Linked DNA regions of Drosophila melanogaster. The protein of the gene in region 2 interacts with the protein of the main gene of each other region in a pairwise test. Each region holds a gene or a part of one and is shown on either strand. Other genes may lie near its edges.

The links.
Region 1: the proteins of trsn (region 2) and intr interact in a two-hybrid assay, tested with the Drosophila melanogaster proteins (one large-scale study listed by BioGRID).
Region 3: the proteins of trsn (region 2) and CBP interact in a two-hybrid assay, tested with the Drosophila melanogaster proteins (one large-scale study listed by BioGRID).
Region 4: the proteins of trsn (region 2) and Cluap1 interact in a two-hybrid assay, tested with the Drosophila melanogaster proteins (one large-scale study listed by BioGRID).

The regions. Positions count from the first base shown.
Region 1 is NT_033777.3:28,787,619-28,794,203, reverse strand, and holds intr (intrepid), read right to left. Parts: upstream 3,683-6,585; coding exon 2,786-3,682; 3' UTR 2,743-2,785; downstream 1-2,742. Other genes in the region: CG34295 (uncharacterized protein), read right to left, coding at 3,721-4,587.
Region 2 is NT_033778.4:10,476,298-10,483,107, forward strand, and holds trsn (translin), read right to left. Parts: upstream 3,815-6,810; 5' UTR 3,742-3,814; coding exon 3,667-3,741; intron 3,614-3,666; coding exon 3,526-3,613; intron 3,460-3,525; coding exon 3,363-3,459; intron 3,301-3,362; coding exon 3,185-3,300; intron 3,129-3,184; coding exon 2,797-3,128; 3' UTR 2,714-2,796; downstream 1-2,713. Other genes in the region: Pef (peflin), read left to right, coding at 3,958-3,966, 4,026-4,245, 4,793-4,872, 4,930-4,993, 5,066-5,292.
Region 3 is NC_004354.4:7,333,504-7,344,521, forward strand, and holds CBP (sarcoplasmic calcium-binding protein), read left to right. Parts: upstream 1-3,848; 5' UTR 3,849-4,212; coding exon 4,213-4,353; exon of another isoform or gene 4,354-4,747; intron 4,748-6,800; coding exon 6,801-7,013; intron 7,014-7,691; coding exon 7,692-8,000; intron 8,001-8,070; coding exon 8,071-8,304; coding exon of another isoform or gene 8,305-9,063; 3' UTR 9,064-9,228; downstream 9,229-11,018.
Region 4 is NC_004354.4:22,540,392-22,548,008, reverse strand, and holds Cluap1 (clusterin associated protein 1), read left to right. Parts: upstream 1-3,686; 5' UTR 3,687-3,785; coding exon 3,786-3,807; intron 3,808-3,873; coding exon 3,874-5,040; intron 5,041-5,097; coding exon 5,098-5,391; intron 5,392-5,449; coding exon 5,450-5,559; 3' UTR 5,560-5,623; downstream 5,624-7,617. Other genes in the region: CG17601 (uncharacterized protein), read right to left, coding at 217-879; CG17600 (uncharacterized protein), read right to left, coding at 6,191-6,664, 6,941-7,069, 7,123-7,249.

The DNA.
Region 1 (6,585 bases), on a different chromosome or scaffold from region 2:
AGCCGTGATCACTAAATGCTTGTTCTATCTGCGAACTAGGAACATTAGCATGGATTCCTTTAAGCACTACTCTGTAGGGTTTTTCTTCTTTAAGTTGGTGATGCCAGAATTGACAATTTAACTTATTTAGTTCTTTTACAGCGGTGCGGAAAGCATCAGGGTTGGCTGTATAGATTCTGGATACACCAAATCTAGAGGTGCGGATGTAGTAGTTTGAGGAGCCAATACTCAGATTAAGAGCCCGTTCCAAGGTGACCGGATCACTTACACTTGGTACGCATATGGCTGGGGGTTTGCTATATTTAGCGGATTGTCCACCACCATCTCGGGCAGCAGAGTCTTCAATGTCAGAATCAGCATCCGACACGTCTTGCTCCATATTCTCCGCTTCAGCAGACAAAAGCGCGAAGCGATTGTTATTTAATGCTGCTGCAGTGGAGGTAGAGGCCTCCTCATTGAGTGGCATAGTGGCCTGCCTTTTAGTTTTACGGCTTGGAGAAGGGGTGAGGATAGGTAATGGGGGCTGAGACACGCCTTTTCGTTTCCTGTTGACAGTACGATCATGTGCTTGAAAGGGGCATTTCGCTTTAGATGGCTTATTGGGCAGTGATGACAGAGGTGTCGGCAGTCCATTGTCATAAGGCGTAGTTGGGCAAATGCTAGTGGTCACGGTTGTGCAATCAGTGTATGTAGGAGTACAGATCATGTTGGCCTGTACGTTAGAAATAGTGCAGGTAACACTTGCATTGGTGTTGCTGCTGATTGTCACCATTAAGCTGGAGACCGTAGATTGAGTTGGCATACCTTCCAGGTTAGGGGAAACAACTGCACAGCTGGCGCGGAGTTGGGAGCGTAATTCTCCTGGCTCAACACCTGCTACTTTCCTCATTTTCTCAAATTTATCGCACCCATTGCTAGGTCGCGATTGAGCAAATGAATTCTCCATTATATCAATTGTCTTTATACTTATGCCGTATAATGCAATTGATATTTACTAAACACGATAAGATTTACCGGTTTACTTGTAAGGTAAATTGTAACAACCTCCCGCTTGCGCAGCGCGCAGGGCGAGGGGCAAAAACAACACAGCTTAGAAATTGCTAGTTGCTGATAAGTTTCGCGAACCGAAGCCGTCACCGTTATGCAGTGACTAAAAATAGATTTTGTTTGTGAGATAAGCACACGATCTGCGCAAATGTTTGTGATGGATCACAATTACGTTTTTGTTTTATCCGCGACTTCTGTGAACACGTCCACTCGATTGCTCATCTCCCATATTTGCGGTAGGTCAGCGGGTCACTGAAAAGCGGGGGCGAAGTGGCTAAAGTGGATCAATTGGCTTGGGGGTGTCGCTTTAGCCCCGCGAATTCCCACGGGGCGGCAATTTTTAGTCAAATGGAATATATATTTGTTTTATTGTTTTTATCATCAAACTAGTGTTGAAGTTTTTTCATGCCATTTGTTGTTTTCAATTGCAATATTATCCCGTGTCGCACCAATACCATCACCCACTATGGCATCCTTTATTTTATACAAATACACGCTGTTCGTTTTTTCTTTAATATTAATTTCTATGTACATAAATTTAGTTGTTCGCGATGATGTTGGCGGCAACATTTTCGACAGGCTTCGTTGCATTTAAATGTCAAATGGTGGGCGTGGCTGGTGGGAAAGTTATGGAAACTTTTCTCTAGACCGCATAGATACTCTGGATGCACTATAGATTTAGCTGATTTGGTCAATTTTTGATTGGATTATATCTTGGGCTGTACATATATCATTCCTGTCTTCACCTCAATTGAAGAGCTATTTTAATTCGCTGTCATTTTATATGGCAAAGATTTTCCTTGGCAGCGTTTCATACCTACCTCCCATTAAGTTTTTTATAATTACCTTAATCCTTGTAAAGGGCACTTCCAGACTCGCACTGCCTAAGCCTTTTATAGCTTTCATTATTCCCGCTGGGTTTTTAAATGCTTAATTTATTTATGTATGTTGCCTTTTAAATTTATTTTGTTGCCGCCGCTGATAGTGCTGCTGTAGGTGGGTGGCGGTGGGTGTCACGACGGTTCGTCCTTGCCGCGCGGTGGACATGTGCATATTTCATGACAAAATTGCATATTTTAGCGCAAAGGCAAAGCCAAAAGCCAGCTACGTATCCATGGCCGCCGGTGAAGCTTTGGGTTTTTTTTTCGCAGGACTCCATCTCTTCCTCTTTTTGCCGCAGAGGCCCCCTTGCTGCCCCGCCCATCGACGGTGTAAATTTCAAGCCAAGTGTAACACCTTTTTCCTGTCATGATGATTTTAGAGGGTTTGGGTGGCGCTTGTGTCTCTTATTGTGTGTTTTTTTTTTCGCAATTTTCGTTTTTTGCCATTTGTTTTTTCGCTCAAATTTACATACATCATAGTCATTGCAGTTCAGGGCATTTTGATGGAAACAGTTAACTTTTTAAGCCGCAAATTGAAAGAAAATAAAATGTTAAAAAAACATCGCTTGTGCTCTTTGTGTTTCTCTGATTTTGTTGGTGGCGACTTTCAATTTTGCCCGCGACCAACAGAAGGCGGCATCCCCTGATTTTATTTGCGATTTTTTTTGCCCTTTTGTTTTCAGTGTTTGTTTAGTGAGATTGATTCGATTTGGGCAGCGCACGAACATTGAATCGCGACAGTAAATCTATGTTCACTCTCTAACTTTCAGATGTTATTGAAAAATTTTTATTCAACAACCATTGGAAAGGAACTAAGTTAATGTATTTTTTATTCGGCAATTTCCCTGTTAAATCATTTAATTCGAATAACGCTCAATCAAGTGCATCAGTTCAGTCCGGGCCTTAAAGACGTCCGCATACAGCTCTCCATTGACACCACCATCGGAGCAGTGTTGCCCGTAAATGTCCACTCCGCACAACCGATCCTGGTGGAGGAGGACATCCCCCTTTGCCGTCTGGCAGTCCACCAATCGGTTTGAATTAAGGGCGCACAACATGGTCTGCGTGATGAAGGCGTTCTCATCCTGGGCATAGCTCCTTTTGCAATTGCTATTGGGAATGAGTTTGGTGCGCAGGAAACGCAGATGTTGCTGTGACATGTACATGGTTACATTGTCATTCCTTCGGAGAGGTGACTCGCAGAGATCAATCGGATGGACGAAGGGATCCTCCAGTGGAGCGTGGAGCAGTAATAGGGCCATGTCCTCAATAGCGCCGGTAATTAGATTGGCCACCGAATATATCCGACTCCGACTAGCCTGCAGTTTGTACGAACGAGGTGGAGGTTGACGCAGAGTCCTGGGAAAACAGAGGGCGGAGGTTAAAACCAGACGAGTGGAGATTAGAGCACCACTGCAAATGACTTTGTTTTCATAAAGGATTCGCATAACGAAATGCTTCACTGCCTTTGGTGCCTCTGTTGTGGCTTGTCCATCGGTAAGGAGAGTCTCGATTTCAGCGGGAATTATCTCTAGGCTGTTGGGTTCTTTGTTGCCTCCGCTTGAGAATCTAGCGGAAATTTTCGGTGATCTCTGGTAGGGATAGGGCACTATATACTCAATAACACGAACTATCTGATAGGGCTGTCCATTGCTGGGTATTTCACCCACATTAAACTGCGGAGCGGTCTCAGAAGATCCGTAAACTGATCCTCGGGAGACTGCTAATATTATGACTAGCTGACTAAGCTGCATTATGACATTTCAACCGATTCAGTCTCAAATCACAACAATTAGGTTTCTTTCCCCGTAACTGATTTAAATTCTTCACTTAAACCATTAAGTTTCCGGATCAAATCGCCGATCATGGGCTGCAGTTTGCCTAGACTTATGTAGAGATCACCATTGAGTGCATTTTGAAAACAGCGAAATCCATAAACGTTTAAGCCACATAATTGATGGTCTATAAGTAGGACATCACCTGGAGAAGTTGCACACATTTCCGGATTCATTGAGTTCTTTGCACACAGCATACTGGGAGTTATAAAAACTGAATCCTCTTCCAGGAATGTTGTCTTGCAGGCACGATTTGAGATTATTTCAGTTCTTCGACGGCCGTAATATCTGAGATCCGAAGTGGCCATCATCATTGATACTCTTGTGCCCAATGGTACGTCATATTGGCATAGGGCAATTGGATTGATTTCAGACGGCCTCTTCAAGTGAAGAATGCTAAGCTCAGGACAGAAATCCGCTTTGACTACATTATCCACAGCGATAGTTCTTCCGCCGGTGAAGATAATTTGCAGCGGTTTGAAAGAGTCGTTTGAAAAGCACTTACTGGAGGTGATGGCCAAACTGGGAGCCACCAAGGCCGCACTGCATCGTACCGCATTTCCCACCTTTATCTTCGCAATAAAGCTGAATTGCAAGTGGCTCATCCCGATCTCATTTTGATATTCCAGTTCCTGCCTTCTGATTGGCTTGTATTTGTTGATGATTCTAACTATTTGACGGTTTTCTGACAACTGATGGTTGCCTCTTCCGCCACTAGGATATATCACATTCACACGACAATCCTTGCAGAGTTGAGCTCCAATCGCCGCTTCGCAAAGCTGACAAAACCAAAGCGCTGAAACACAAACAAGCAGCGAATGCATCTCCAATCGACTGATAACCAGCAGATGACTTTTATTTATGGGCGAATGGAATTCGAGGCGCCTGTCAAAGCAACAAACGTCGCTTCGATCCACATGGCGTATGCGTAATCAAAATGTTTTGCCTGCTAAATGGCAAACATAAACAGTTGACGGCTGTCAGTTGTTGGCAGTTGTTGCGTGTTGACAACGTGTCAGGTCTAATGACCAAACAAAGGTAGGGCACACAAACATTTGAAGTGCAACTCGATATCCTTTTGGCTCTCCGGCTGGGGGTTTAAGAATGATAAGTAATATTACCTCATCGTTTAGCTTTAAAAATGTTTTTAAATCAAATCAAGTGACTATATTTTAGAGATTATCTAAAGGATATTTTAAAATGTGTTAGGTAAATGAAATGAAAGAATAAAAATATTGTAGAAATTAAGGATAATAGCAAACTATCAACCATTGAATTCGAATTCGCGATGTGGGCGTCTTTCGTGGAAATCGAAAATTGTTTTTGTGCATTTCAGCAAATTAAGAAAAATGGCAGCAGCTTCGGCTGGACCTCTGCTCATTTACTGAATTTATGGGCGGCGCTTAAACTGAATTGACAATCAATAGTCCCTCGAAGGACGAGGCTGGAGGACACGCAGGATAGCAGAGCTCATAAACAATGCGGCCAATTTACATGCCCAGGGATCGACCGCATGTGTGTGTCTATCCCAGTGTGTTCCACCATGAAAAGGACCTTGTGTTGCTTTTATTGTTATCGTTGGAAATGAAAAATTGTCCCTTTGTTGCATATAAAAACAATGGGCCAAAGAACTTGAAATCAATTTCAAACGTTTTAGGCAAAGCCAATTGATTTATTTGTTGTGCGTCTTTCTTTCTCCGCTTTTGTGCTAGTGATTGTGTTGGTGGGTGGTTTTCGAGCCCATTGTTTTGCATTACTTTCGCCTTGAATAAAGCCCTGGGAGCTTTACTTTACCAGGTCCTTGAAATGTGGCACCGTTTCCCAACTTAAAGCTCAAACAATTAACACCGAGTGCCGAAAGTCAAGGGCTTCGTGCGCTGTTTTTCGCTTTACACTTGATAAACTTTTTATTACTTCCAAACAATTTAAAATCGAGAGCGAGTGGTTGGTTGGTTGGTAGCTGCCTGAATTACAATAATGCTCCGCTTGGGTTCGGTTTGTTGATGGCTTCGGCCAATTGGCAAGACAAACGGCTGCAGCTGCTTGCGAGGAACTGGAGTGAGGCTATGACAGCATTCGAATTCGAATTGGTAATTGAATAAAAACAACGAGTGCGAGTAGTGAGCTGGCCAAACAAGTCCCAGATGGATCTGGAAAAACGCTGTCTTTAAGACACTGGCTTACGTAGATCCCAGGCTCTTGTTATTCCTAGTGCACAGGAAACAAATGTATATTTTTCTTTTTGGTTTTTTATGACACTACTGGGAGGAAACATTGAGGCTCCAAGCACGACGATTTTTGCCGGTAGTCAGCGTGCCTCACGGAATGATCTTATTTCCGTTCCAAGCTTGAGATAACCACTAAAAGATTAAATATTATATATATTATATTTGGCTTACCTTGTCTTAAACTTCTTATCATTAATTTTTTCCAGTGTCTGATTGCACGGTTCCTGACACATATCGCAATGCAATGGAGCATGAAATAAATGAGAGGCCGCCGCTTGGATGCGACTCGAGAAGTAGTCCTTCCGGCGATTTCCTTCAACCAAAACAAAATGCCCCGCCAAGCCAAGGCACCACCCTCGATGTCACTGATGGTCTTTGGACATTTTACGCCTTTTACACAGTTGACTGCATAAATTCATGGCCGGGATATGGTTACGCATTTTAAACAACACTCTTCGGCTAAATCCGGAATCGAGTCAAGTGATTCCTGCAGATGGGTTGCGGTGGCACGAAATGGACCTTTGTTTCTTCGAAATAAGAAGGAACTTGGCAAACATCAACATAGCTTGGCAGCAAACGGCGTGGACTACAAAT
Region 2 (6,810 bases):
GCGATTTGGTAATATCAGAGTTCATATCATAAAGATTAGGCTTTAAAATTCGGCAAGTGGACTCTGACCTCTGCGCAGATGGCACTTTATCGGCATGCGGTTTAGGTAAGCAACTTGAGATCTGAAGATGGGCTCTCCACACCTGTTCTTATCGCTGTTACATCACTATGGTTAGCCAGCTTACTTGATAAACCAGCTGAAAAACAAGTCTTAAATATATGTATGTACATATGTACGATCTGATTCTATAACCGAAAACGGGCCAATGAGGTGGCGGGGATAAGCAACAATTGAGGGAGGCGATAAAACCTATCGCTCACTATTTATTGTTGAAAGTCCAATAATCGCAGTGGCGGGGGGCCTGTGAGAACTCCAGTGGTACGCAATTTCGGTGGTCTGATAAGGATTGCTCGAGCACGCGGTTCCGATAAGAGGTGATTGCTGTCAGAATAACCTAGTGCAATCGGTGACGCGTTGGAAGTGTCTACCTGGCATAAATGTCGTCTGCTTATCGCACGACCGGGATCTTCGTAACCCCCCCCCCCCCCCCATCGAAAGTGTGCCCAGATTGGAGAATTTCGATTTAAAATAACCACTGCGATGAAAACGAAATGGTGCTGCTGGTGCTGGTATTTGTATCTTGGGTTTGGACTTTGAACCGTAGCAAACTTGAAATGTGCGGCGACTGCGAACGACAGAGGCAGCCAGCCACGCATGTCTAACGAGAGCGGTACGATCGAGGTATTGGTGGCTCTGGAGGGTCGGGTTCCGAGGGGCAGCACAAAGGCGCTGGGAACCAGTTGCGCTGGGACCCCTTGCAAATCATTCACAGCTGCCGCGGCCAGCGCAACGAAAATTGATAAAGCGAGCGGGGTATCTTTGAGATACTCGACTACAAGATATCCACTATTACATGGATTCACATGAGTTATTGAACTAAAAGTGCTGTGAACATTTCTGAAGTACTGCGACACTTAAAAACGTAACACACTATTGGTTGAGTGTGGTCGTTAAAAGCGGTCATAACAAGGTATACCTAATATTTTTATTTGACAACCATATTCAATGCAGGTTAATAGTTCTATAAACGTGTAATTACCATGCGAAATAAACAAGCAAACTTACTAAAATGATTTTGTCTCAAGACATACCCACTACTAATTGAATACTTACAGTAGACGATACTCAAAAAAATATGACTTTGAGGAATACAACTAATATTAGGGCGTATTTTAAAATTTTTCAATTTTTTTTAAATCTTTTTCGATACTAAAATATATTCTATATATTATTTTTTGTTTTTTGATGTATTGAAAATACACATACCCTGCAAGTCTTTAATTGCCGGGTATGCAAGCAAAACACTCAATGAAGGAGGTCCATAGCTAATGGTTTCGCTACTTTCCATAACAGTTAGCACTCGGATTCTGGGTTTATTATATTGACTTTTTGTTGTTGGTTTGCGGCTGGGCTTTTCCTTGGCATTTTCCCTTCGAAATGAGAATGCAAGAAAGTTGGAATGGGGGTAGGAAGAAAGAGAGACGCAGAGAGCAACACCTGCCCGTCAGTGTGTGGGTGTCTGTTGTGGTTTTGCTTTTCAGATGTTTACGTCGAAAGCTCTCTCAGTATTTCTCGCTCTCCTCCCACTCAGTGCGTTGTAAGAAGAGGGGAAAGAGCAACAAGGAGAGAGCGTGCCCCGTTAAGCCTCTCAGGAAACTTGTTTCGGACTTTGAACCGCTTCGATTAAAGCGTGTTTTGAAAAACACCAAACAACAACTATGTCTGCGGAACGAAATAAAAAAATTAAAACAAACAAACAACAACAAGGCAACTGCAGACTCAACTAAAGTTTTGTAATAAAAACAGTGCTATTTGTTTAGTGACCATTTCGGGCAACAAGTTTTTACCAGATTTGTGACCCAATTATTGCCAAACAGGTTGGAGTCTCTCAGTTTTTAGCTTTTTTTTCGGGCCGGGGACGGAAAAGGGGGCGTGGTCAAGAGAGCGGGTGAGTTTCTGGGCCAACGGACTTTTCACACGGCCAACTGCCCGCCAGACTTACTTTCTTGAAATGGTAACCAATTGCAGTCTCCACTTTCAAATCAAAATGCTAGAAAGGGCGAAACAATAAAGAGCGCACAAAGCGGGAAAAAACAATAAGAACAACACGGGAAGGACGACGGACGACGAAGCAGCAAACAAGAAAATGCAAAGACGCGCGCGCAATGTTAACGTTGTAAGCGTTGCGGTGGCAAAAGAGAGACTGAAACTGCGCCTGAGAAGCAGAAGCAAAGGCGAAACGGAAGCAGCGGCCAAAGAAGAGCAGCAACAAATCCACCATATGATCGGGGCAACAACAACAACTGCGGCCCAGTGGTGGTGGCTAAACAAGTTTCAAAAGGGTTAAGCCATCAAACTTCTGCACTTGTCTCTATGTATACTTAGTTATGATTTAATCAAAACGCGCACAGCCATTTTAATTACCTTTAAGTTGCACAAACTTATGTTTTTTTGTTATGGTTCAAAGCACTATTTCGCTTCTGTGTAAACTGATCATTAAAATAAGATGGTGCCTATTAAGATGTAAAGAAATGTGTTCTGAAAAAAAACAAAAACACATTTCAGATTTTTAACACAGGATTACATACATATATCCTGCTACATTTGATTCCTACGAGCATTCCTGATTTAAATAGTAAAATAAAATGATACTCTGTTTAATGAATGTAATATATTTGCTTGTTTAAATGAAACTTTTTCATTTTAATAAACGCCTTATCCTACGTACGAAGTAAACTATTCGGTTGCAGGAACAGCCGGCTCCTCCTGCTGGTCCTTTTCCTTGCTGGACAGACCGCGTATGCTGACATCGTAGACGACCTCCTCGATCTTCTTGACATCATACTTTAAGGCATCGAAGCGCTTTCGCAAGCCATCGTTCTTCAGGTTCAGCAGACGGAAGCCCGTGTTCAGGTCACCAATAAAATGGGAGATATTCAGGGGACGCTCGTAGTCGCCCATGGTGACGGAATTGGTAGCGAATCGGGAGAGCTCCGACGCCAACTGCAGTATGCCCAGTAGATAGTCCTCCACATCCAGATGGAAGCCCTCAGACTGGCTGATCTTCACTGTGGAGTAATTAACTATTATTTCGTATCCAGAGAGCCTTCCAAATCTAGCTTACATCCCAGCATTTCGGCCACTGTTTCGCGGGTGACCAAGAAGCCCGCCTCCAGGTAAATAACCAAGGCAATGATGAAGATCAAACGCTGCGTAATGAAGGTCCAGTGATCGGAGTATCTGGAGAAGGCGGAGCATTCGACACCCACAATAGACACCACGGATTTCACCATCTGACTCACCTGTAGTACTGCCCAGCTGGCACCAGTTCGGCCAATTTCTGGTACTTTTGGGCACACAGCTCAACCTGTTTGCGGGCTAAGCCGCAGGCGGCACTAACTATTGTTCAAGTATAATGTCATATTAGAACAAAACATACAAGCTACCAAATTGTACAGAACTTACTCTGGCTCAAATCGCTATGAATAATCTGCAGTTTAATCTGCGCTTCCTTTGACAAATGCTCGATTTCGCGCACCACAATGCGGATGTTCTAAAAACAATGGTTTAAGATGGTGGTTTTTAGGATATTAACCGTCAACTCACCTCCCTGACTTCCTGTTCATTGTCTATGTACTTTTGGTAGTTGGAGAAGATGTCCAAGTTCACGAAGTTCGACATTTTTGCTTAATGTTTTGCTGCTTTTGTTAGTTGTTTATACCGGCGATAGGGATGGGAGTATAGCCAAGCAATAAGTCTAGCAATGCTATCGATATGTCACATTGTTATCGCTTGCCCAAACCAGTGTTGGTGAACGCCCTTCTTGTCATCTGTAGTTTCATTAAAATTGTTTTGTCCCTCAAGTTCCAATTAGAATCGAACTAGGCTCGTGACAAAATGTCTTATGTGAGTGTGTTTATGCTTAAGAAAGTGGATTAAATGTACTTACTACCGTTTATCCACAGGGACAAGGCTATAACCCGTATGCCCAGCCCGGTGGTGGCTATGCCCCGCCGCCAGGAGCATTTCCGCCGCAGAATGCCCAGGTGTCTCCGCAGGCACAGCAATGGTTCTCCATGGTGGACCGCGACCGATCTGGAAAGATAAACGCTTCCGAGTTGCAGGCGGCCCTGGTGAATGGGCGTGGCGATCACTTCTCGGATAATGCCTGCAAGCTGATGATAAGTAAGCTTAAGCCCTGCCCAAAAAAGATCCCAAAGTTTCCTCTACAGGAACTGTGACGTCAGTAGGTGAACACTAACAAACGTGTATACACTGTATACTATACAGTAGACCCTCTAAAAGACGATCATAAGCTAAACTAGTTTGGTAGGCAATATAGTAACACAAGAACACAAGAACAGGTTGTCGATTTGAATCTTCTATGCGTAGCCTAGCACACCCGCTGTATGCCAAGAACCAATGAAGGGCACATGGGCACATATATTTAGATCATCCTGTGAGCTGATGATAGCTAAGTAAGCTTCAGTTATGAAATACTTTAAAATTCCTTCGATTCCCCTTCCGGAAACTGTGACGTCAGTACTCCCCTAACAGACAGTCAGTATCAATTTAGTTATACTTTCGGCTATAAATGTTTCACTGTATTTATTGCCCCAATTTAGGGTACATGCATATTTGTTTAGATCACCTGGAGCGCCAGACACTTTTCCGTTTGTTTACCCTGCGATTTATGTTGTATTTTTATCGCCTTTTTTAATTTACTCAACAGGCATGTTCGACAACGACGCCAGTGGTACCATCGATATCTATGAGTTCGAGAAGCTCTACAACTACATCAACCAATGGCTGGTAAGGTATTTCTTATATCGAAACTAAGTAGTCTGACTCATTGTATCACTGTTGCAGCAAGTCTTCAAGACCTACGATCAGGACTCCTCTGGACATATCGAGGAACAGGAGCTGACCCAAGGTAAGCTAACACAACAACTGAATCTCCAATTCCTTTATGGCCTTTTACACTAATTACCAAACTTGTTGGCAGCCTTCACCCAGATGGGCTTTCGATTCTCGCCCGAATTCATAAACTTCCTGGTGAAGAAGAGCGACCCCCAGGGCCACAAAGAGGTGTCCGTGGATCAGTTCATAGTGCTCTGCGTGCAGGTGCAGCGTTTCACGGAGGCCTTCAGGCAGCGCGACACCCAGCAGAATGGAACCATCACCATTGGGTTCGAGGACTTCCTCACCGTGGCCATTGGCTGCTCGTATTGAAAGAATGATTCAATGCAACCGCTCCATGGGAATGCATCTCCACAGTCTTGCACACACACACACACACACTACAGCCAACAGTGGATGATCATAAATTTCGCGACTGGTGCATTTTTCTTAAATTTTCAACGGTGTTAGCTTTTTAATATGTAAATGAATCACTCCACAGTCATATTGCAATCTCCTGGTATCAGAATCAAATTTCAAAAGTATTTGTTAACGCAGTTCGACTCAATAATCATAGTACAAAGTCTCTTGCGCCTAATAATAAACTATACACACGTATTTTTAAAAATTAAAAGATATCTGCGTTTTATTTAAAATGTAAACATTGTATATGAAAAGTTCATTATAAAATCATGTCTTATTTTAGCAGTCACACTGCCCACAGTTCGTAATCGTGTCTTCGTCGATCGGTGAAGACCACGTGATATGCAGTTAGGAATTATAATCTTATTAAGTATACAATCATAAAATATCGGGCGATTCAATGTGACGGCACACAAGCTTAATGGTAAGATACAAACATTAATATCAGTTAAAACATTTAGGCATAATAAGTGTTTGGTTTTTGGTTTGGGAATCGTACAATGTTCCAATTTTTTTGTTTTTTTTTTGGTCATGGGTTAATAATTTTTAAGATACAATAAACTCAGTCTTAAAGTCCATAAATATATGAAACGAATGTCTTCAGGGCGAGGAATAGTTGGTTTTCAATTGGTTAATTAATGGTTTGTTCAGTTGTCAGTTCAATGCAATTCTCTTAACTAATTCAGTCATAATGTATATCATTGTAAATGGCATCGATTGAGCTTATCGAGTAGTTACCAAAAGTTTTGGTCTTAGTAGCTTAATCAAGCCAAGTCAAGAGATCGTTGGATGGCAGAGGGTTTCTGGGCAAGATGCTGGGAACTTTTTGGAAATACGCACACGGCGAGGCGAACCCTTTCTAAATACTTTTTTTCTGGACAACATCGTGATATCTTAAATAGTAGAGACCTTAGAAAATATTTGAGTGTTGTTTGATAATATTTTGCACACTTAATCGTAAGTATAAAATTGACATTTGGTGAATGATCATTTTATACAATTTAAGAGATATTAACTGATGCTTTAACGCATAAATGCATCGTTAGAAAAAAGGCTTTAAGACTAATTTGATTATATGCTTGATTAGATTGGCTTGCATTTGCTTACATTACATAAATTACTACAAGTAAACATTAAATATTTGGGATGACACATGAATGACAAGAAATAAATTTCCACAAATCCAATGGACAAAACAAGACACCAGACGTAAAATATATTGTATATCAAATGGAAGCATCACTCGGTCCCCGTACAAATTTATTTGGTTTCAAGCTCTCCCTTCCCATTGAAGTCGATGATCAGCTTGCCCTGCGAGTCATCGGACATGGAGCCGCTCATCCCGTTTTCGCGATTCATCGAGTACTTCGATCTCCTCTTGCTGGGCAGCTGGGGCAGATCGGTGTGGTGCTTCCTCACATGGACACC
Region 3 (11,018 bases), on a different chromosome or scaffold from region 2:
AAAGTTGGACTGGCTTTTATCTCTAACCGTTTGGGTTTTGTAACTCGCGATGGTCAGAAAGTCATGTGTTGTTATTTTTTGTTTTGGGCATTGCTGTTGTTTTTGGGGTTTTATCAGCCATTATAAGCAGGTCGCTGATAAGGCGACCGTCAGATGTAATTTAATTAATTACACGACAAAAAATACATTTAAACAAAAACTATACGATTACAAATTACGCATTTTCAAATTACAAATATGTAATGAATGCATTTTTTAAAAAGCAATTCTCTAATGTAATTATCAAGCAGTAATATTTAAAGATATTGAAGTATATTTGTAAAGGAGTTTCATTGTTTTTCCACATAAAATTTGGAGTGTTATGAATTTGAAAAATCGAAGACCTACGACAACAACGTGGAAAAGGATGCGTTGCAAGTGGCACGTAGTCGCTGATTTTTTCTTGTCTTTTTTTTATTTTGTTTTCTGGTGGTGCAGGCAACTGGAAAACTCACACGCACACACACCAATGCACGACGCAATTAAATTTTATGACATTTTATGTAAAGTCGCAGCACGACTTCTCTGCCGACGTTGGCGTCGTTCCTCTGTCGCCGGTGTGTCGACGTGCCAAAATCCGCATACTGAAAGAAAAACTAGTGAACCCGAAAGATAAACAACCCTTTTGCTTAACCCTCCAAAGACCCGTGAGAAAGACTGTATGCACTGACCAAAAAAAGAAAAAAAAACGTACGCAAACAAATATAAATACAATTTCCGCTTTGTATCTGAACTCAAAATGATTCTTAGACCAATACCTATTATGTGAATGTTGCATTCGAATTTAATATAAACATCTGTTTTTGATGTGATAAGATGAGATTATTTCTTTTAAATTTTCTCCAAAAACTATGTTTAACAGTTGTCATTTTAGAGGGTTAAACTAGCATCCAATGCGAACAAGAATAATTTCTGCCTTAATTCTTTTTTTAAACTTTTTTTTTTTTGAGCCGGCGTTGGGGCGCAACACGTACGCCAAAAAAACAGAAAGCCAGGGGGAAAACAACAACTGGCGCACTCTCGCACATCACACACATACACATACGCACATCAATATAAATGGCGTTGCGGAAATCTGAAATGGCATCAAAACTGTGGAACTGCGGACCTTGAAAAGCGCGACAAGAAATACTAGAAACGCAGAAGCAGAAAACACAACATCACAAATTCGTGGAGCACAAGGCTTCCACTTCGAGACGACGAGACGAAACGATCTTGTCCAATATTCTCGGGTATCTCGAATAGCACACGTGTGTGCGTGTTCCCGCTCGACAACGATCCACCCATTTCGATTGGATCCCCCGCCCAAAAAGACAAATGAAACAGAAGCAAAATCTTGGGAGCGGACTTACAATTACAATACAGTGGGCACTAGCTAAGATGGCAATCAAATATAAAGTATTAAATATTTTCAATTATGTTTTAAGAACTCTTGATTATAGATATGTACATACATATCTACATATGTATGTAGTATTAAATTAAAGTATTAAATTTAAAGATTTAAAATCTATTATTTAAGTAGTAAAGTTTTTGTAAAGGTATTTCTACTGTTTTTTTTCACCTTTTTCGCGCGCGCGTTTAAATTACGCATTTTAATTTTCGGCAATTGAGTTTTGGAGCTACTTATGTAGATGTCATGTGGATCGTGGGTGTAATGTTAAAAGCTATTTGTGACGTCATTAGTCGTGTGTCTCCAATTTTCGTTCTTTATTTGTTTATTTGTTTGCAGGTGCAGCAGCAAATAGATTATAATTTATGTATTTGTAGCGGGCGCATGCTAAACTGCACACACTCTACACCTACATATGTACATACATATGTATGTATATACTACATGGTTGGAGACCCTGTTTTGGTGGTCATATGTTTGCAGTTGTTTTGTGTTGCTTTTGTTGTCCCTGGACCTGGTGTTACGTGACGGTCGGAAAGTCAGCAGACAGCCGATGCGCCGGTTGTTCTCGTTCCAAGCACACGTCCACCCCGAAACAAGTGACGTTTATGCATTACTGTGGCTAATATTATGAATAGGTATTATCGAGATATCAAATACGCATCTATCACAATAATAAAATAATAGAAGTAATATTTAACTTTAAAGGAACACAGACAAAAGCAGAACGTTCTAGCAGATAGTATGTATGTATGTATATGTATGTATAGATATGTTCCATTATCTTTATAAACGGATTATGTTCAATTTATCTCGAGTTCACCGCCGCATAATCCGCTTTGGAAACTTCCCGGCTGCTCACATGTTTTGGTTTTCCGTCTGTATTTTCAAGTTTTTGCCTCCGCAGAGTGCAGTGCACTCCGCTTGCCGCATTCGAAACGGTAAAGTGGGGGGCCTTCGATTTTTTTTATTTTGTACGTAAAGTGTTGCACTTCTTGCGGGGAACCAGTGCTTGCAAAACTATGGGGGATTTATGAAAGCATTGATCTTGATGGGCAGTAAAAACTATTAAAATGAACCAAGATTAAAGGGAATTAGTGGAGCTGATAATTCCCTTTAATTTTTGCCGGCCACTGATATATCCATTCCGAATCACTACCCCCTTATTAATTTTTTCGATGGTTTCTTTTTTGTTTTCGTTTCGATGCAATGTTTTTTGGGTCCAAGTCCACTGGCGCTTATTTGATCAAGACTATTATACAATCTTACACGTATGTACAGCTGTGTATGTATGGGTGTCCACAGTGAAGGTACTAGAAATAGTGCTCCGTTGCGAAGAATGATCAGCATAGTGCATTATGCTTTTGGACAATTTGGGTTATAAAAAATAGTTTAAGATACCTTTAATGGTGGTAAAATGCCAAGTGCTTGAAATTAATTGGTATGTAACTGAAAACGATCTTTTAATGTTATTAGTTTTAAAGTGTTGTAATGATCCTATAATATTTACCGCACACGTGTGGGTGTAAGCATGCGTTTTGCTGTGGAGCAATGAAGTAGAACAGCAACGGAAAAACAGAAACTATTAGTGCGTAGGTATTTGTGTTACTTCATTTGTATGTGTGTGCGTAGAGGGCACTTTTCGGGGAAGTGCGTAGCGAGGGGGGAAGGGTGTCTTGGGGCATATTGTATTGGACCGACAGTTTGTCACACGCAGCGACCTAAATACGCACATTTTATGATATTTTCATTTTGAGTTTTGGCTTTTGTTTTTGGATTCCTTCGTTTACGTTATCAATTGGAAAACTGTAGTCCGTGTATGTATATGTGTGTGTAATCCCATGTTTATGTAATGCATTTTCTTTGGGCTTTATTTTGAAAACGAATACAGTTCTCCATTTAAGCGAGGTTTGACAATCACTGGGTTTTGTGTTTGTTTTTGCTTCTTCTTGTGCTCCTGCTTCCTCTCCATTTTCTTCTTCAACCGGCTTACATGGTCTTGCCTTTGTGTTTGTACTTACATATATACAGCCAAGGGCGCAAAAATATGAACTAAAAAACTTAAATACTAATTCCTCCGCATCTCTTAAAGCTGGTTTTAACATTTGGGAACGCTCATATTCAAAAATATTCTTGCGACACATATGCATGTGTATATTAATGCAGCTCAAAGTTTGATTTCGTGAACATTTGAAAATGTAACTACTAATATTTTGGCTTCAATAGTGTGTACTGCCTGCTTGTGGTAACCATTCCAAGTAGCAGCTGTTCTCCCTGCTCCCTTCTTATGCTGTCCTCTCCCTCTTCATCACACAAAACCACACACACACACGCGCACTCCCGCTCACACACACTCAGAAAGACCGCTCTGCTTTTACAGGCGTCGACGTCGACTTCTTTTCTTTGCGCAGCGATGGTTTTCAAAACGAATTCGAACGCTTAAGCGAACGGTTGTGTTTACTCCCAAGCAAAGATATCCAAAAAAAAAAAAAACTGAAACCACAGAGAAATCAAAATAGAAATTAGCGGACTCAAAAACAAAGTGTAACAAAACAAAGCAGAAAAATAAAGGCAAACATTTTTTTGTGGTGCATCTTCGAAAAAACCGGTTGTTAAATGCGCGTTGCAATCGAAATAATAACAAGAGTTCAACAACAAAATCCCTAAAAAAAAGCAACGTTGCACATTTTCTCGAGTGCAGTTCAAACTGTAAGGAAAACGTAGCGAAAATTGAGGAAAAATTTAAGAAAACCGAGGTTAAAACTTGAGCGAAAAACAAAATGGCATTCTCCATCGTGAGCCGTGGTATTTTGCGCACTTCAAGAGAAATTCTGGAACGCAACATGGCCGCAACTGTCGGCGTTCTGCAGCAGAATGCCTCCCCGCCCCCAAACACGCCCATTTCGCACAGCGATTGTCACGTAAGTGCATCTTTTCTTTCAGTGCATTGTAGTTAAGGTTACTAATTGAATTGACAGAAACAAGCAGTTAGAAAAACTTAGCATCACAAAGCGGACAGGAAAGAGCAGTTCCTAAAACAAACTTAAAAGCAACAGTTATAAAATAAAGAGTTTAAAACCAGTTCCACAAAAGATGTTCCAACCAAAAAGCAGTTCCGCATGATATAAACTCAAAACAAAGCAGAAAAATAGAATCGCAATTCGAAAAACAGTAAGTGGTGGAAGGAGAACTGTAAATAGTGAGGAAGAGGGGTGAATACAGACAAGCAAGGGAAGTGGAGAATGAAAATTGGGAGCGGGAATGTTCACGAAACGAGGCCAGTGCTAAGTAAACTGTAGCAGTGCATTCGAAACTGTAAGAACTCGAGTTCAATTCTTGATTAATATTAATAGATATTCCCAACTATAATTCTAGCAATACAAGAGAGTTTGGGATTATTAATTCTCTAATTTTTATTAACTTTTCATTCCCGCATTATTAATTTATTGTTGTTAGCAGCAGCATTATATATTGCTGATTTTTGGTTTCAATTGATGATTAACTATAAAATACGTTTAGGTGCTGGCAAATTTCTTGCACATCAATCATTAAAGGGCGCAGCACTTCAATCAATCAATAAGAAATTGAAAACCCGGCGCCGAAAGAGGCATATCCCTCAATGAAACAAATAAAACAAGATACAGTAAGATAAACAAGTGGAAATTACACACAAAGAAATGTTGGTATTGAATCAATAGATTCAACAAAATAGTTCAGTTAATATATAAACATGTTTCATCTTACTCCTATGTTGTTAGCTTTAAAAATACCGTCCAATAGTATTTGCATAAAAGTTTCGGTTTTGAAACGAAATTTATGATATTATGTTGACACAACATACATTAATTTAACCAGCTAAGCCAATATTAATACTTACTGGTATTTTTCACCGTGTATTCAGGTGAAAGCTTGTTTTCCCTTCTCACCGACAACAACCCCCTCATTTTGAAAGTCGGAAAACTGCGCAAATTCTGTAGCAGGAAAATCTTGCGCAAAAGCATTGGAAATTATAACAACAAAAGTACCCCACCTCCCTTTACTTTTTCTCTAACCGCCACGGAAAAAGAAGTTTTAGAATCACAGGAAATGATTAAAGTGATTTTATTCGCAATTTTTCTACTTCTTGTTTGCTGCTAAATTAACATTGACCTGTTGCTCGACTTTGATTTTTATTTGCCGTCTTCTTACTCTCTGCATCTTCCACATATAAATCATTGGCATTGTTTTTTGTTTAATTTTCTTATGGTCGAAACGTGTTTCTCTTTATTTTCGAGACGCGCAGACATTCAAATGAAAGGAGGCCCGTTTTTTGCATTCATTAATTCGTATTTTGGAGAAACTTGTTTACGAAAAAAAAAACACCGAAAAACAGAAACAATCCAAAGTTCGTTTAACCAAACGAAGCAACTGGAACCGAAAAAAGGTCCCAAAGCAGTCAGTCCAATACAATAAGTGTGCGGGCTTTATGATAATGTTATATGGTATGATGCATGATATCATCGTCGTCGGTGGCTGGCAACATCTGTACTTGGATTCTTTCTTATCGAGAGCCATTGAAATTCAAAACGTTTACAAGAGAATTCGGTTTCTTGTAATTAAAAGAGTAGCGAATTTTGTTTTTTATCTTTTCCTAATGGCACAGGTGATGGAAAAAACCTTTCTCCGAACTGGTTATTGGCATCAATATTTATCTTTTTTAATTTTCAAAGTTGCAATGTTGGCAGCAAAGGACATTGAATGTATTATATATGTGTAAAATACCGTGTCCTATATTTACATATATTTTATATATATTGGAAGCTATTTTCCTGCTGGTTTACAATTTCTTCTTTTAAATTCGTTACATACATGATCGCCACGTGGTTTTTTACCATTACCAAGCGCCTCTCAAACTGTAGACCGAGTTTTTTGAGATACATTTTGACAGTCACTCTTTGGCACTTTTAAGGCGAACCAAAGATGGAAAACTCGTAAAAAAAAACAGATAACGACGAATCAGGTTTAGAATTGTTTTGTGAGTAAACAGAACTGACCTTAACAATGAGAAAATAACACGCACAACAAAAACAACACAGGAAAACAGCAGTGCGCTGAGTTGTAATTAAAAACATAATGATTGCTTACACACCGAAGGGCGTCTAGCAACCATATCAACAACAAAAAGAGCATTCAGCATGGGGCTGTGAAAACCGAAATATACACAAAAACAATACAAAACAATAGCATAATGATTGCGTAACATTATTAATGACACGTTAGCATCTCTTTTTTTAAAGCACAATCAAAATGATTATTATGATAGAGAAACTTATCCAATACATTTTGCATTTTCACATTTTTCTAATTTCCTTTTTTTTTCTGATTTCAGCGCCTGGCATCTGGCGGCATTATCTGTGGACATGGAGCACATTCACTGCTTTGGCATCAAATGCCAACTGCCGTGGTCCAGGCTGTCCGTCAATATTCAAAGAAGGCCGGAGCGGCCAAATTGCGACGGGAGGTGGAAAGTGATAGCGATTCCGACTCGGATGATGAGTTCGAGCGTCGTCGCCAGAAAATGGATTCCAAGCGCAGCGAACGGGTGAGTGAACTGCTTGAGAAATGCATAATCCATTAAATAGATCCATAAAACACACGGTCCACGTGGCTGAGAAATTTCAATTGTGTTTGCTCGACAGGCCGAGAAACGTGTTTCGAAATTTGTTTATCGTGCTCAATGTCGTTTTTTGAACCTGCTCTACGGCATTTAAAAAATAGTCCAACATTGTAACCTGGTTAACAGTGGCCATTTAACAGTAGTAACTGGTTTGAGTGCAGACTGTTTTAAGATCAAAGCTTTGTTGTTTGGTTATTAATACGAAATCTTAGCTTTCTCAAAAAAAGCGAATTGAAGCTTAAAGCAGTTGCTTGTATCCTGACTATACTTGCCATCAAGCAGTTCCTTAAAGTCCTTTCAAAGCCTTTTGGTTAAAGCTTCTAAAAGCTCACAAGCAGTCGCTGCGCGTCTATGAGATAAGCTGATGTTAATAAAAGCATTTTAATAAGGACAGTCAAGTCCTGCAAAGCTTTCAAGCTTTTACTTTTCAAGTCCTTTTAAAGTTTGAAAAGAGCAAAAGGCTTGGTTGCAGAATTGCAATGAGCTTTAGAGTTTAAGAAGCTTTTAGCACGCCCTGTGAATGTTTTAAATCAAATATAATTAAAATTTAAAATAAAATCGCAAGGCAAACCAATTAATATGTATATTTTTCCTCATTTTTAGGGCGACTCAGCATTCTGGCGCCGCAAAATGCGTACTCTCCACCGCATTTTGGACGTTAATCACGACGGCGTCGTGTCCTTCGACGACTTTAGTTTGCTGGCCAAACGCTTTAGCGATCTGGGCCATTTGACCCCAGAGGTCGCTGCCGAATTCAACGATGTGATCAAGCATACTTGGGAAGAGCAGTTCGGGGAGATAACCCCATACAATCTGGTAACTGCCGAGCAGTTCCTCACCGATCTGCACCATCGTCTCAACGACAAGAAGATGGCCAAACGCATCGGTCGCTTCCTGCCCTACTTGTTTAAGGTTAGTTTCATTGTTAAGTTGCTATTATCGATAAACAGAAAAATAATTTTTCCGGTTTTTTTTTTCTTAGGCTGTGGACTTTGATCACACTGGCCATTTGGATCTCGAACAATACAAGCTCTTCTTCCGTTGTCTGGGACTGACCGAAGACGATGCTGCCGTTTCATTCGCTGTGATAGACAAGAACGGCGATGGCCAATTGTCGCTCAAGGAGTTTGTGCATTTGGGCCGTCAGTTCTTTTTAACCGAGGACGACTCGAAGATATCGAAAATGTTCTGGGGACCGCTGGTCGCTGATCATTGACGGGTTGCAGTCACTGCTGTAGATTACAATACAACCAAATCAACAATAACCCAACAAAAAAATCCTTACTACAATCAAGATTATCAGAACCATCAACACAACAACGTCCGATGCCATAACATCGGCAACAATAACACCAATGAGCCAATGCTACATTATACATTGAATACGACAACGATGTTGGCCAATAACAATTACAATAAGATAGTGGCCACTTCGTTGCCAACTCGCGTGCAGGCGGCAGGCGGCAGTTGGCTAAATCTACAGCATGTGGCGCCTCATAAATCGGGACCGTTAATAAACATTAGCAACACCACCACGATCGTTATAAGGAACATGAGCATTTACGATTATTTTCGGCAACACTTGTCCAGTTCGAAGCGCCAGCGCTCGACCTTTGAGCCCCATCCATCGCCCACTACGTATCCCGCCTCCAAGTTGCGCAAGCACAACTTTAGTAATTATCAAAAGGAACGGGAACGGGAAAGGGAAGACCGACAGAAAGATAATAATAATAATAATCATCGAACCAAGGGCAAACCATCATTAGATGACTACGATATAAGATTTTTTGTCTACCTTAACTCGCTAATAATATTCACAATGTCGTGCAGTCGTCAATCGGCCGCCGAGGGCGATGACCTCAAGCATTTCATTTGCGACCGGATCCGGAAATTCGATCGCCTACGACGAAAGGCAAGAAAACGCCGCAAGAGAAGGCCCAAAAAGCTGGTCGAGGATCAAATGCACCATTTATAAACTCTGAAAAGTGGAGCTACATACTATTCACGGTCACCCTATTTACCATATAATCGATTATTTTTTTTTTGTCTAGTTAAGAGTTATGTTTAACTGATATATTACACAATACAGCAAGCATGATATAACGGAATAAAAATGATTTTTAAATATACTATAAATAATACGAGCATATATTTTCAATTATTGGGTGATCAAGCGATCAAAAATGGTTTTCCTAAATCTTTGCGACTCTGTCCACTTATAGATTTTAGTTTATTATGTTTAAACTATTTCCCTAATTGCATATAGTGATTTGCTTATGATTATCCTGCTGCAGGTTTATATTTAATTCATATTCTCAATATTCAATGGAGAAAGGCAAACAGCAGACGCTACTTCCTTCTCATTTTATTTTTAAATGCATTTTTTTTAAATGTTCCCTCCCTTGGCATCTGCGGCCACATATCATTATGTAAGCGCCAGCGAAAAGGATTTGCGATATCAACTGAAAAGTGTTTAGCTGGATGTTGCGAGTCTACAAAAAATGTTACCTAAAATAGAAGACGGGTTGAGCTACTTTTCCAATACTCTACTCTACATTTTTAAAAGACTATACACTTTAATGAAATGCTAGGAATAAATATATATCTCCATCATATAAGTGGTGTGTCATATTTTGTTGTAACATATAGTATCAAAATCTAAGACATACCCTTTATTTTGATACAAAATGGCATACACCCAAAATTCTATAGATAGGGCATGAAAAAGAATTACGTTGTGGAAAAGGGCAAGAAAAACTTGTCGCGCGTAAATCTCTGCGATGGCAACCTCCCACAGCCGTCTAGGCTGGCTGACCAGAGCTCATTATGCGCATTTGTGCTGGACGGGATAGAATGGGGGTTCCAGAGGGCTTCCCCCGACATAAGGATGGTACGCCCGTTTCTTTCCTTTACTTCTAGTCCTTCGCACTAATTTTTTTTCCAGCTGCCCCGCAGCCTCTGTTTCCCCCCACCACCGCTCGTTTTTTATTCATTTGTAGCTAATAATTTTAATGCTATTCAAAATTATGTTGAAAAAAAAAAAATATATATATATATATATATATATTTATATTTAAGAAGGGAGGGCTGAGTGGGCGATGGAAGCCATGTGAAAGCATTTTTCGGGACCTCTCACACACACGAGCTGGCGCTTATAAATTGCATTTGTATCTAAAAGGACATTAATTTTGGTTGCACGTTAAAAAAAAACAGCTTTCTTTTTAATTTCTAAACACAAAACAGTGGTTTTAAAATCTAAGGAAGTTTTGTATACGAGTATTAATAATTACTGAAAGATTTGCCTTTGCAATGTTCGTTTTCTTTACTCAAGGAATGCAATCACATAGAACCCAACAAATTGAAAAACGAAATTATCCTTCCAGTGCATTTGTGAGCAAGCAGTGTCCTGCTTTCTGTCCCTTTTGCGCATTTCTTACTCGCTTCAATATTTTATAATTTAATTTTTTTCCTTGAATTTTTTTTTTTTTTTTTGGCTGTGCCACGCACATGACGACCATCGCTAATCCTTTTGCCTCACATATACTCTAGGAAAAAAATCACACACACTTGCACTGCTACATCTTTCATTATGTAAATGCACGCTTTACACATTTTTTTTTTTCAGATGCACTGTCCACTCTGGCAGACCAACCCACCACCCCCACCGCCCATTTTTTAACCATATTTTTTATTTCCCCAACTTGGGATTTGGCCGAGTGTGTGTTTGTGGTTCTATATGAATAAAATATATATCACATACTCACATGTAACTGGTTAAGTACATATGTAACCCGCCTTCGTCGACTCTTCTACTAATTTACATCTTTTACTCTCCTTCGCTTGATTTTTTTCGTGGTCCATCCTCTTCCGTCCTCTATTTGCCATTTCAACGTGTTTTATCGCGTTTTAAGAGCAGTTTTTAAAAATTAA
Region 4 (7,617 bases), on a different chromosome or scaffold from region 2:
ATTACCATTTTCCACGGCAATGATTGCAAATCAATATTTCATCATATTGATCATATCATATTCATATTCAGTTGTCATAATTAAAAAATGAATCGTCTAAGTATTTAAACGAATCCATTTTTTGTGTGTACAAATGAATGCAATGTGTATAAATCCAAGTCGAGTTCGACTTTATAGACCACCATTATTAGCCATTGAATATTAAATATGAAAAGGCTACGTTGCCTTCAAAGTCTTCAAAGTCTGCTGGTCCTTTTCATCTGACGGCCCCTTATCCTGCCCACCGTCTAGCTTCCTGTCCAAATTGCGATTCTTGGCATTCTGCAGTTCTTCTTGGTCGTAGGCCTCTATGCGCTTCTCCAGCATGTCAACCTCTAGCCACAATTGGGTGGCCGAGTTCCAGCGCGGCGGCGGGTCACCATTGATCTGGGCCAGCAGAATTTCAAGACGGTTACGATCCCACTGGTTGGCCTCTTCGCGGCGGTTGCTCACCACAGACTTCAGGTGGTTTATTTGCCGTTCTCCGGAGCTAGCGGTGATGACCCGATCGCTTGCGTCAGCGATTCGGTCGGCCACAGCCTGGCAAGACTTCTCATTTGGACCGGGGAGAAAATATGAGAATGTATCCGGACGCCGATTTATTGTTTCAGTTGCCAGTGGATTGATTGCCGGCATCAGATGGATGGCCAAGTACTGGGACGACAGTGGCTGCGAATCCAGCAGCTTGACCTTGTTCTCGACCTTTTTGCGCTTCGCCGGACCCTTAGCCAGGATATCGGTTTGGGTGCCAACCGAGCGGCAGTTGATGCGCTTAGTGAACTGCTCCACAGTCGCCACACTGCGTGATGCAATCCTCGAGATCCGTTTCCTTGGGGCCATAGCTGTGGTTATGACTATATGCAAACGTCTCTGAGAAAATAAGGTTAAAAGTAAGGTCACAACCTGATAGGGTTTGCTTTTAATATTTTTAATCTGTCAGTGGAAAAGAAAGGTGGAAACCCTACTAAGGCCAATCGGATAGGAACTTTTTCAATACATCACTCGTTAATTATATCAATATTTTATATATATTTTTCTTAACGCCTAACCTTTCAACGCAATGAAAACGGAAGTTTGAAAAAATATATGTACTCAACTTCCTATTGGCTGGGAAGCCCTCTTAACTGTCCAACGCTAAATTGTAGAGCTTCAATCAGCAGATACATACATACATACATATATGTATGTACAACACTTGCACCGATGAAAATCAAATAGAAAGCCTTTTTAAAAATTCGTTTTGGTATCCTTAAGTACATTTAAACATGTTGGTAAATGTAAACCTCTTATTTTACTTACATACTCTGTACATACCTGTGATGTTAAGATACAATATTATGATGTACGGATTCTTCACTTAATAAATAATAATTTAAAAAAAAACCTTACATACTCTTTTCCCATCACCTTTTTGCCGTGCATTGTATTCCAGTAGTTGCTGAGGAGATCTCCAGATTTATTTATTTGAACTCCTAATTTGAGGAATTTTATTTGGGTTGATCATTGATTAATAAGTCTATCATAAGCATGATCTGAAAATATATTTACATTCATATATTTTCTGATCATGCTTATGAACGAGAAAACTTGTAAATCTAACAAATTAAGCTGTCTGCCAATTTCACAGATAAATAACACCTGTTGAGAGCTCTTAGACTTCACACTATTACAATCAATCATTGATTTTTTTAGTTTCTTATACAAATAAATGTTATTGCACACACCATAGATACATATGTATGTGTAACGAGCGGGTTTTTGTCCAGAAATAATTTAACCATAACGAGATAGTCAATAACTAAACGGTATGATATCGATGCGAATAGAAGAGAAAAAAAGTTTGAAAATGCACGCAATAAGCAAAGCACGCGAAGTTTGTGAAAGCAATTGTAATTTCATAATGTTACTCAATTTTTGAGTACAAGGCCTCCAGCTACTGATCGGGTTTAAAATACATTTGTGTGCGCTATAAAATACAAAAAACAAAAACAGTTTGAGCACAACCCCTCAATTATTTAACTATCTGATACCCTAGTATCAGAATATGCGTAGCAAGACAAGGGAGAACGCTATGAATGAGTTCTCCGACTATCAGAAGATACACGTTAGTGGTTGGTTGGTTTTGGTATGTATTTATTCCTTATGCACCAAGACTATTACTTAGTAAAATCCGTATTCCCCATATTAAGCAAAACAAGAGTGTATGATATAATCGAGTTCCCCGACTATTAGATACTCATCGTTACTCAGCTAGTGGAAATGCGAATGGGAAATTTCATAATTTTTCTCGGATATCGATAGATATTGGGAAATAATATAATATTGGCAATTTAAAAGACTAATAATAATATGAAAAAGTATTAAAACATTTAGCAAACGTGTGGGCGTGACAGTTCTAGGCAGTTTGTGGGCGTTAGACTGGGCTTGGGAACATGGGCAACTGCACTGCGTCTACGTCTTTAGAATCTGTATGCTTCTTAACTTTCTTTTACCTTCTAGCTTTTATTGAAAAATAGATAGATTTCTGAGATCTCGACGTTCATACGGATGTCCGGCCGAACATGGATATATTGTATATTAGGAATATATATACAATATATGGTCGGAAACGCTTCCTTCTACCTGTTTCATAAGAATATTACTAAAAGGATATAACAAATTTAGTGCCGCTTTTAGGCATTTTGAATGTGCGCTTGTATGATTGAAACAGGGTTCATTCGACTTTTTAAATAAATAGAGTTTTATTTGGTTTTCATATCCATTAATTGTATAAAAACTAAAAAATTAGAAAATATAAATTCTTGATGAGGATCACAAGCGGAATCTTCCATCTGTCGATCAATATTAACTATAAGCTATATATGTACATATGTATATATGTATATACACTGTAAAAGCTAATGTGACACACACACAGCTCTAGTGTGTTTCAGAACGTCGTCTTGCCCACTATAACGCCCGCAAACTTCCCAAAATATCACACCATCGATAACCCAACAGAGTGTTGAATCTGTGCAATGATAAGTAAATTACAAGAACAATAAAGGATATATAGAAAAACTGAAATTTATGTGCCCAACAGGTCAATTTCAGTTGAGATAGTGGCGCCCTCTGTCGGGTATGCTTAATTTGTAAAAATCCCAATTATCGTATTTCAATAATTCGTTCTTAGCAACTCCTACATTTTTAATGGAATGGAAACCGCGCAACCGTTTCCCAGGTGAACCCCGTGCGACCGTCCACAGCAATCGAATGAATATTAGCCAAGGATAGCAGGGGGACACTGCGAGAAATTTCATATGGCAAGTGATAGTAACCTGTATTTGTTTAAGTATTAAAATAAAAAAACTAAAACCTATTTAAGTTAAAATTAATTTTATTTCGCTTTTATTTTCAGTTTCATGTATTGCTGTTTTTGAGAAATTTAGTACATATATCTTAATTCCTATTTTATGTAATATTTTCTTATTAAAATTCCGTTTAAAATTACCAACATTGTTGTTGACAATAATCTTAGTTTAATATTAATAATATATTTTAGAAATGGATCAATGTTTAGAGTTCGTTATCATATTTTCTCGCTATGCATTTTCCGTTACCTAGCAACCATCAATTTGGGATTCGGTGGCCCAAACAAAAGCTCCAACGACCACAACAAATGACGGTGTTGAAAATGCAATTGCCAGCGCAGCCGCAGCGATTGCAAGCAGCCAAAGAAAAACAGGTGAACTCGTTGGAAGCCAGGAATGTCCTTCAAGGATGTGCGAGGTGCGTACTGACTTCCTCCTCTTACTTCCTCCACCTAACACGACCAGACTGATACTCCACTTCCAGATCTGGGGGAACATCTTAAGCTGTTGGGGTTCCCGCGCGTGTTTCCCCTCCAATCCCTGGCCAATCAGCATGGCAGCCTGGCCAGTTTCCACATTGTTGCCGAGCTCCTTCAATGGCTAGCAGGACTAATAGAGCCAGGAGCCACTTTGCCCGGCGGCGTTGAATCGGAGGAGCAGCGGGTTCTTCTCGTCCGTTCGGCGACCGAGTTTTTTGTGACCAAGGCAGCCATTCGTATTAATCCCCGAAAACTGTATGCAGCCGCTGCGGTTACGGCGGCAGAGCTACAGAAGGTTACCCGACTCTTGACATCCCCAGGACAAAACGAAGCGGACAACGACGAAGAGGACCAAAGGGACCAGTACCGGAGCCTAAATCCCGTGGATATTGGCGATAAAATAGAGGAGTTGCGTAAGGCTCGAGAACTGGCCACAGACCTAACCCAGCGTGGCACAACCATATGCGAGATGCTTTCGAAGGAACTGCTCCACAAGGAATCGCTAATGTCCCAGGCCCAACGACCCCTGGAGCTGCTCAGCGTGGAGCGGACCCTGAAGAGCGCCATCCAAGCTAACCAAGTTCGCCTCCAATCGAGTAGAGCCCAACTGGAAGCAGCCAAGGTGGAGCTCAATGCTCTGGGATCAAAGCTGCAGCGCCGTCGGGCGGAGCTCGAGCGAACCCGCCAAAGACTGGAGGCACTGCATCGCATTCGACCAGCGCACATGGCCGAATTCGAGGACTGTGAGAAGGAGTTGCAGGAGCTATTCCAGCGCTACTTTCTCAGGCTGCATGTGCGCGATGCTCTAAAGTCCCAGCTGGACCTGCGTACTAAACGTGCCACACCTATCTCCTCACCCATTCTGCAAAAGCCCGCCGAGAACTCAATGCCCTTCATCCCGGAGGGACTCATCGAGGACGACGATGACGACGACGACGAGGACGATCTGGATGACGAGGATGAGGGCGATGATGGCGGCAAAGCACTTTCCCGTCTCGAAATGGTGGTCAATGGCAGGAGTGTCTTCGGCCTGGACTCAGAGATACCCGACATACGGGACGAGGACAAACTAATGCAACAAAACAACATGGTTTCCGCCCAGGGAAAACGTCCTGGTACCGCCACCTCCAGGATTAGACCCACAACGGGTAGAAGCAGGAAGGCAGTAGGAGGTAAGGAAGTTCTAATTTCACAAACTTATTTCCCTGCTCAAATAACGAAAATCCCAGGAAGAGGCACAGCCGGCCCGGATGGTGGTAATGATGCCAGGGCAGCCCGCGGCACCAGGAGAGGTGTTGCGACTGGAGGAGACGCCGATGGCACCCAGCTAAACGGCCGCAACGGACCCGGCAGCAGTATGCTCAACTCCCGGGACGAAGACAGCAGCTTCGGGAGCTCCGAAAGCGAACTGGATGTGGGTAAAATCATGGGCATGAGCGGAATGAGCGGAATGAGTGGCATGAGCGCTATCAGCGGGATAAGTGGGATGAGCAATATTGCCTTGGGAGCCGGCGATGATGATTGTAAGTCGTGTAGTTACGCCTTGAACTTATAACAAAACTTTACCTCATTCACCCCTAGTTGATCTGAACTCGATCGATGACATAAGCATTTCAAAGTTAACTGGCGAACTGCCACTTAGACCGAAGACCGCCAATAAAGCGGAGCATCACAGCGATGAGGATTTCTAGGGATAACTACAATATTTATATTTATTTGCTAATTTTATAAACTCAGCCAGAGGGCAGACAGGTTGTAAAAAGTAAATAAAATATTCCCATCAAGCAATTAAAAGATTTCTTTCCACGTCACAATCAAATACGTCACCGTCTCGCAAATAGACGGCCTTAGGGTTCCGGTTCCTGCAGTAACACGAATTGTCTGGCGATATGGTGACTAGTATGATGAGCAATCAAAGTGTAGTCAAAGATGGATTTCTGCATGTACATAGGTAAGTGGGACTGTGCAAGTCAAAGCATAGCCAGGATCCCTAACTAAGTACATCGTTATCTGTATGACTTTAGCTAATCTATTCCTCCAAGAAGCGAGATATAAATTAAATTTGCTTTTGTAGATACGTTATAATCAGTTAATTCAATGCTCGAATAATTGAAATAGTTTGCTTAATATATCTTTATTCGATTAATTTTAATGTGTCTTAAGAGCTATACGCATATGTAAGTACATTGATAGAGTAATGGATATAAAAGGGGTAATTTATCAGACAAAGCCCCACATAGATGGGATTTCGTTGTGGCTCCGTAAAAAAAATATATACAAAAGTCTGGGAAACTGGGAACTAGAGAGCGGATGCTTTTCCCGTCACATCACCACATCCCGGCAAACGATCTTCGTTTTGAAGGATGCCCTCTGACCGCCGTACAAGTCCGAGGAGGCAGACGACGAATAGTCGACGTGACTGCCCGCCTGTGACTGTTCTTGCCTGGCCAAAAAGCTATCAGCTATGGCTCGATCTAGACCCGTATACTGGAAATTGGGAGCACCGTCCAGGACATCCGCTTCCGATTTTCGGCGCTGCCGGCGATTGGCATCAGACTTTCCCGCCCGCCGCCGTCTTCGCTGCCCATTGATCTCCGCTGACTTTGTGCTCTTGTGAGTCCGGTATGTCCCGCTTAGGCTAGCCGGGTGGGCGTAGGTCACGGATCCGGGCCCAGGTCGCATGTAGGGAAGGGTCATTCCACGGTACTGCGCCGGCAGCGGGGGCACGGGAAGCAGAAGTCCAGCTCTGGCGCCCGGAGGCGGAGGTGGCAAGCGTGTGGGCGGTGGTGGTGCCATCTGAATATAGTTATTAGAACAAAAATTGTATTTAAAATTTCAGCAAAATTTATTTGTTAAAAATTCAATATTTCAAAGTAAACTTATCTTTTCTTTCTATGTAGGAAACGAATAAGAAACTTAAATAAAAACTTCAAATTGGGTTTAAACGCACCCGAAATATTCGGTTTCAACAGCCGGAGCTTGGTTCATATTTATATTAAAAATACATATTACTAGCTCATCACAAACTAGAGTACTAACTCACTGGATTTGGTATCTTAGGATTCAGCTTACCCCATTGCCAGCGGTGGAGGGAATGAGCATGATCTGCCGCGATGGAGGCGTCAGTTTGCGGACTGTTGGCGGCAGGCTTCCCATCTGGGTGGCATACATCCACATAGCCGCTAGCTTCTCGGTGTTCACCTGCACGAAATGAAGCTGGATTAGGATAGGTCCCACACTTAATCTAACAGCACCTTGACAACCTTTTCACTGCCATTCAGAGACATCGCCTTGATGTACTGGTCCACCTTCTGTTGGTCCAGAGCGATTCCCGAAGCATTCGACTTGATAATCACGTCGCGAAGCTCACTATGTTCCGACCTGCAATGAAGTAAATAAATTAGGTGATCCTTAGTTATAAGAGTTAATTGAGGTACATATTTAGCAATAAAACCATAGATTAGAGTTCGTAATTCAAAATGTGAGAAATCATGCTAAAATTGCACAAACTGATTTCTTTTATCTAAGGATTTCTAAGTTATAAGGATCGTTCTACCGAAACGATAAATATCCTTTGCGTCTAAATCAAACTCCCATTTATAGATTTTTTTTATTATATTAAAATGGGTATAAAAATGCAAACAACATTTACCATTTTTACAATATTACTGTATTTTTGTAAATGGCATAGCCATTTTTGGTATTTTTACTCTACAACCTTAGTATTTTAAGATCTCGCGTGCACGGCC